Linked DNA regions of Drosophila melanogaster. The protein of the gene in region 1 interacts with the protein of each later gene in a pairwise test. Each region holds a gene or a part of one and is shown on either strand. Other genes may lie near its edges.

Region 1 (3,755 bases):
AGTTCCATTTCCTGGATTTGCACATTGCGCGAGAAGTTCGAAAACTGGCCACTTGACACGTTCTTCGGCGACTCCACCAAATAACGAGGTGGTGGAGATAGGGTTCCGGCCAGAGAACCGGTAGTGCTGCTAACCTCCTCGAAAGTGGGCTTGGCATTTTGCTCTTCGTCGGTGGTTTCCACGTGTATCTGGTGGATAATCACCTTGGAGGTGGGCTTCTGTGGAGGAGGCTGCTGGGAATAAGGATCTTCTGTTTGAAACTGAACTTTTATTGTTACTTCCTTTGGGGATTTCGGTGCAGTGTCATCATTTTGCTGTTGGGCGTTATTCAAAATGGGTTCCTCTTTCACATCATGATGCAGTTGCTGTGCGAGGCCCTCTTCTCTCTTCTTCGGATCTACAAGGATTTGTGGAACTGCAATATTTTGCTGATGCGCTTTAGTTGATTCCTGTAGGTGCTGTGCTTCATTTTGCTCCTGCTGCTGTGCATTTTGCTCAGTGTCTCTCTGTTTTTGATAACTTTGCACGGCAGCAACGTGTTGCTGATGTGCATTTTCCACAAATTCCATTGCCTTTTCGAGTTGCAACACATATTGCTCCGGTTCCTTTGAATCGTGTTGCTCTTGCTGTGGATTATTGTCAGTGGTCTCATCCTTTGAGTAGTCCACTTCATCATAAACTTGTTGATTCTCTTCAACTTCGACATGTTTCTGCTGTGCGTCCTCCGAAAGATGACTAGATTCAGGAAGTTCCTTTGGACTCGGTTCATTTTCCCGTTCTTCCTTAGTTTCAATCTCCTGCTGAGCTTCAGGTTTCTCCTTCTTTGAATCCTCGACCTCCATGTGCTGCTCCTTAGATTCCACGGCTTTGGGTGGCTCTGGAGATTGAGCTTTGCCATTGGCCGTGTCCTCTTCCCTCACAATTCGATGAACTATGACCTTGGCTTGCCGGGGGCTACCGGGTGGCCTTCTTATAATGGTGGGAGGTGGACGCACCTGCTCTTCAGATTTTCCATTAGACGCCTGCTTATCGGACTTTTCCTTGCGATGTTTTGAGTTTTTGGCACCCATTTCTGCGTCTGAATCTGCTTCTTTTTGGATGACTGTTGCTGGTTGCTCGAATATTTCTTCTTTTTTTTCGGTTTTCTCAAGAGTGTTCGTCACCTCTTCGCTGTTTTCCGTTGGCCCATTTGAAACGCTGCCAGAATTTCCATTATCATCTACGAAGGAAGAAGATTGCGCTACTGCGATCTGAGTTTGGAAATCCTGCTGCTCCTCCCGATCCTCCGCCCCTTCTGCCTGCTGCTGATGGTTTTCGTTTTGGTTTTGGCTCGGATTCTGATTTTGATTTTGGTTTCGATTGCGTTTGTTGCGATTGCGATTGCGATTACGATTGCGGTTATTGGGCATCGTCTACGGCACTTTCGCTCGATCTGAACTAATGCAGTTTTCCTTGTGTGTGAGATATATATGTGTTTTTGTGTGTAAGTGAGTACTTCGTGTTTCGTGTTTCTTAATCAGCCAGAATCTACAGTACAACTAAGTGTTGTTTCGTTTTTCGGTGTCGTTTATTTCTAGTTCCCTCTGTGTGTGTCACTCGTCGCCAGAAACTCAAACAGAACTGAACTGAGAACCAGAACCGAGAGCCGGCGGCATTCTGCTCGCGACGACAGCCGGCAAAATCGAAAAAAAAAAGAAAATAAAAAAATAAAACAGCGACGTCGCTGCCGCTGCCGGCGTCTACGCCGCCCCGCCCACCGCCCACCGCCTGGCACGCGTCCGAAATCGTTATGTTTTTAGGTTTATTTTTCGCCGCCGAGATCGCGCCTTTGTCTCCGATTGCCTCGATATTTTTTCGCCAAATTAAATTGCGTTTTGAATACTAAACTTTCGCTCTCGTTTTGGGGGTATGTTCGATTTGAGCAACGGGGACACGGGGTGAAAAGTTTTTTAAATATTTTTTAAGATCGCGCTTCCCGTTCCTCGTGGCGCTGGCGACCGACGGACAAGGAATGGGCCGTGGGCTTTCCACGATCTCAGCCGGGAGCTAGCTCCCCAGTCTCCCACTCACACACATTTTTACAGACAGCCCGATTCGGATGCACAGTGGCAAGTATTTGAAAATATACACACAAAAAGGAAAATCGGGGAATTCATAACGATGCTCATGTTCACAATACATACATGTACGTAGAAAACAGAAAGTCGTACGGGAGAGCGGGAGAGAAATGTGCAAAACCAAAACAGAATCAGAATCAGAATGCAGGGTATTCCAAAGACATCAAAATACCAAAGAGACCGAAAAAAAAAACAACAATATGACTTCTAGGTCAATGCAATTTTCACAAGCCAAACAAACTCATAAAATCCGAGATGAGCAGAAAAGAAACGCACGGCTCGAAAATATATTCGGCACATTCATAAATATTAGAAAATGTTTTTGGAACACGTACATAATTTGTTTGTGGAATTTAAGCTAACGAATATATGCTTTCGAAAATAAATTTTTTTAAATGTCACAAACACATTTTTGTCTTGAATTTCGGTTGATAAATGCTCAGGAATGAAAGATGTAAGACATTAAGAGAAAATAAAGAATTTAGAGGTCAAATGAAATCAGATAAACCGTTTTCCAACCACTTAAATTGTTTAATTTTTTAAGTGGTTGATCTAAAAAACTTTCGTGCAATATACCCAAAATGGCTCAATGCAGGGCATTAAGAAGAGAACTCAATACGGAAATAGTTTGCCACAGTTCGAGTTTGCTTATATGTATCTTCTGGCCGATGTGTGTGCTTGTGTATCTGATGAGTCTGCGCTGGCTGTGTATCTATATACAACTTATGGCATTTTAAAGATATTTTTCGTGCGTAATTTCTTTGCTTTTTGTGGTCACAAGTCTCTGTTTTCGGTGTACTCTTGAATAATTGAAGCAACATATATCCACGCGCATATATGTATGTATAGCTCTCCCATGTATCATCCCAGTGGGCCATGCGGTTAGTAGTATTCCGCTTTTATTTTTAAAGGTACTTAATGGCTTTCAATTTCTCTTGTTCTGTCTGGCCCACAGCCCCATCATCTCCATTAACTTCCTCCGACCAGAACCAATCCGAACTGAAGTATCTTCGCGGGTCTGTCAGGTGCCAGACGAACCAGACACGTGATGTGGTGGTTTTGGCCCGGGCATTATGCAATTTCTGCACAGTGTGACAGACACGGGTATACCAATTAGGGAATACTAAACGATCGCTTTCCCCTCCTCAGAAACCCACTCACTTAATGTGTATTCTCAATTGGTTTCGGTTTCCGTTTGGATTTCGTTTGGGCCCCACCAAGTTGCCTGAATCACTGACGTACGACGAACATCCAAGTAGCCGCTATCTATATCTGTGGATCCATTGTAGCGGCTTCTATTTTCAGTTTTCTTGCCCCGTAATATCAACAAATTTGAAATTGATTTCTACGCCTCGCCCAATTTGCTGTAGAACAGCACACATTTTAGTTATCTTTTCTGGGCTATCGCTGATAAATTTTGCATTTTTGATAAAGAACGTGAGTTGTGTGCGAAAAGTTTTGCTTTCAATGAAAGTGGTTTTTGTGGAATCAAATGCAGCTAGCAAGATAACTTCTTGGGAAATTACTAAAGATTGAACTGTGATATCTAAAGATGGATAGAGGGGTCATCAAAAGAAGCCTTTCATGAAGATTTGATTCGACAAATGCGCTTGGCAGAAGATCTGTGATTCATTTCTC
Region 2 (3,755 bases), on another chromosome or scaffold:
GATTCTGGACTCTAACGAAGATAAATGGTCTGGTCGTCTGCCCATGAGAGAGATTGCCCAGGCTCTCACCAAGGAGGAGCTGAGTGGCATTAAATCCGAGTGCGGCGGCATCAAAACATTGCTGCGCAATAAACACGAAGTTTTCGAATTCTGCGGTGGTGATCTCATAGGAATAAGAACCCCTAAACCAACGGCTACTCTCCCCAAATCCCATTTGACCATCAAGAAACGTAGCTGCTTTTTCAAGCTTCATCATCCGCTGGGATGTCCTCTCGATGATGCTGAGTGCTCGTTTATACACTAAGCTAACTCTCTATGTGTGTGGTATTTGCTCACCTTTATTATTTGGATTATAATATAAAGAAAAGTGCAATAATCGTGTCAATTGTAGAAACTAGGAGTCGATCAGTGTCCTCTAACGAGAGCTGTCACTGCTATTGCTGCGGCGTCGACGACGAATGGGGGAGCGGGAGCGACGCCGTGGTGAACGCCGGTTCCTCATGGGTGACTGACGACGTCCGCCGCCGCCGCCACCACCTCCTCCACGATTGTTGAACCTATTGAACTGGGGTGGGGATCGCCAGCGGTTGTTTTGCGGACGGCGCATCGGTGGCGAAGGACGACGCATGGGCGGCCTCTGTTTTACTAAGACAACCGGGGATACCGTAATCTCCTGGCCATCTATCTGCCCGCCATCCATATGCTTCATGGCCGACTCACAATCCTCGGGTGTGGCATATTCCACAAACGCCACGCCGCGTCCGAAGTTAGGATGAAAACGATCTACGGGAAACTCCACATTCTTCACATCCCCAAAGCTGCTAAATATCTCGAACACATGGTCCTTGGTAACGTTGCGGGTAAGCCGACCGACATGAATGCGCACCTGTTTGGGCGAAGGCGAGCGAGTCCGCGAACGGGAGCGCTCCCTTCGCTTCGGTGGCGGCGTCCTCTCAACGGAGCCGCGACCACGACGGCGTGGCGATCGTGAACGACTGGCTGAGCGAGAACGCTCCCGCTTAACATTATTGCTATCGGCGGCTGCCCTATCGTTGGATCCAGCACGGCGGGCACGATCCCTCGACCGACTACGACGATCGCGATCTCGCTCCGGCTCTTTTCGCGCCTTGCTGCCCGGTCTTGGAGATTTGGAGACACGCCTGGGGGAACGGGTGCGAGAGCGGGAACGTGATCGGGCGCTGGGCTTATCCTTGTCTTTGTCTTTGCCAGCAGCGCCGCCGCCACGTCTTCGGTTCTTCTCGCTGCGATCCGAATCGCTGGACGACGATGATGAGGAGCTCGAGGAGTCGCTGGAGCTGCTTGAGCTGGAACGCGATGACCCGGAACTGCTCCGCGAAGAGCTGCTGTCCGATGTGCTGGAAAAAGTGAAGTGTTTTATTTACTTCTCGTAACCAAGAAAACGGCAATGAAGCTGGTACAAAGTAAAACACTTCCTAACTGTGATGAAATTTTACCATATATGGTATGTGAATTTTTACAAAATCTTTTCGCTCGAAGGCTATTTTCTTCCCGTACTATCTGCTACGTTTTACAGAAGAAGAAGGACTTCCTTTTAAAAGTAACCCTTATTCCGGTTGGCAGATGGCAGCCATTTGTGGGAAAGACCTTTGCCGGCTGATTTACCTGCTTCTGGAGTCGCTGCTGGAGGACGCCGATCCGCGGCGTTTGCGTTCGCGGTCCCTGCGCGAGGAGCCGCTGGTCGCCTTGCCGTCCTTCTCTTTGGCGACCTTCTCCTTGTTGTCCTTTTCCTTCTCACCCTCGCCGGCGAGACTCTGGGCACGCGCCCTGTTTTTTTTTATTTGTCGAGAAAAGCGAGCTGTTTTAGACCATTTAGGGAGCAAAATGTGGTGCAGATACTTACATTTTCGTATTGCCGATTTGTTAAACGATTAGTTTTATAGTACCGCACACTCTTTTAGGTGCAAGCTAAAATGTTTTTATTAATAAATCTTGTTTTTCTCAACTAGAGTTAAATGCGAGTAGCGTTTTCAGTGGAGATTAGTGTGGCCGTGTTTGTGAACGTGTAAATATGACAAAAAAATAGAATACACACTTATTAAAATAAAATCCAGTTCCTTTACTTTGCTATTAAAAAACTGTTTTGCGAATATTAAGAAGCATTTTTAGTTAAATATAAATAAATTTCTTTTATAATATGCTTAAATCTCAAATTCTAGTATACAAATGTTTCTAGAGTATTTGGGATTAAGATAACAGACACCACTTGGTAATTTCTCACAGTCTCGCCGCGGCCACACTCTTTGTCAGGTCGAACCCAAGGTAAACTCCCATAAAGCGTAAAAATTTAAGACCTTTCCTGCCTAGCAATTTGGACTCGATAGGAAGTAATAATGTATACCGTGTAATATGAATAGTGCTTGTTTTCGTAACGTACGAATGTAGTGGAATTACATAAAACGCAATTGATTTAAGGCCAGCACTTTTTTATCTGCTGGTGACGAAGTGGTTGTCATTGTGAGTTCACATCCGTGTGCCTGTATGTGTGTGAACTTGTGTTGATTTTGTCCATGCGAGCAAGCGAGATAGCAAAAGGGGGCCGCGGGGGCTGGCCACAGCCACAGAGTTTCGATTTTCCATCCATATATCTACACTCGCAGCGGAAACGAGAGAGAGAAAGAGAGTGTGAGAGAGAGGAGCGCCCCGTCTGGTCTGGGCACATTTTACCACACTGCGTCTTTGTCTGCCGTCGAGTCGGGAGCTCCGCGTCTGGTGTGTAGTATTATTATTCTTAATATTTCGGATTACTCTGCCTGTAGCTCAATAGCAATATTAAAACCCCGCCCCGAATGCTTTGCGTTGAAAAACATATCTTAGTGTGTGTGTGAGTGCAAAGTGCAGTTATGTTGTGGCAGCAGTCAATGCAAATTAACCAGTGTCTATACCTCAAAGGCACATTTTTTTAGCCCCATCATCGTGTTTTGAAACGCCACAGCGCAGCGTAATTGCCAAAAACCAGCTAGCCAACAAGAGTTTCGTTGGTATACATATCCATATATTCATATAATCAATGTGTGTAAAGAAAACGAAACTAAGAAAAGCGAAAAAGAGCATTCGATGAAGTTGACTGTCATGACTACGCAATAGCAACAACAATAGGAGCTGCCAACAGACACATGTATGCACAGTAGGTGGGTCCTCTCACGTGCTCTCAGTGCCGCTCTCTGCTCTCCCTCTCTCGGTTTCTTTGTGCATCGGTGTGAGTGTGTATGTGTGTTGGGGTCCGGACTCCATGGAAAAAGCGAATATTTTGATGCCTGCTTCCTTGTGTGTATATGCGTATATTTTTTATAATTTATTGTTTTAATTTTGAGAGGGCGTAGTGTGACCCCAACTCGAACACCGACCCTGCCCAAGTATGCATAGAAGAACGCGCACACACATTTGTGGTCAAAATAATAGTTAAATTACGGAAATGTAGTCTATTTACAATGTTGAAGGAGAGCACCGAAGAGGTCGCTCTTTATATACATACATACATACATAAGTATATGTTATCGCTGCATTAAGTCTTATAATCTATGTTTAGAAATGCACTTATCTTATCTTTATAATAATATTTACCACAAATACCCTGATCAAAGAGGGGTTTTATGCCGTGACACAGTCGTTATACGAAGAGGGTGCTTCCAAAATCTTAGTGCTTCCATTTTAAAAGCATCGAAATTTATGTTATGAAAAGAAAAAGAACTTCTTATGCTAAGAATATATCACTA

The links.
Region 2: the proteins of CAP (region 1) and RnpS1 interact in a two-hybrid assay, tested with the Drosophila melanogaster proteins (one large-scale study listed by BioGRID).

What each region holds. Positions count from the first base shown.
Region 1 is NT_033778.4:10,276,995-10,280,749, reverse strand, and holds the start of CAP (CAP), read right to left. Parts: upstream 2,015-3,755; 5' UTR 1,410-2,014; coding exon 1-1,409.
Region 2 is NT_033777.3:9,550,312-9,554,066, reverse strand, and holds RnpS1 (RNA-binding protein S1), read right to left. Parts: upstream 2,034-3,755; 5' UTR 1,885-2,033; coding exon 1,883-1,884; intron 1,807-1,882; coding exon 1,645-1,806; intron 1,377-1,644; coding exon 416-1,376; 3' UTR 320-415; downstream 1-319. Other genes in the region: CG9386 (uncharacterized protein), read left to right, coding at 1-304.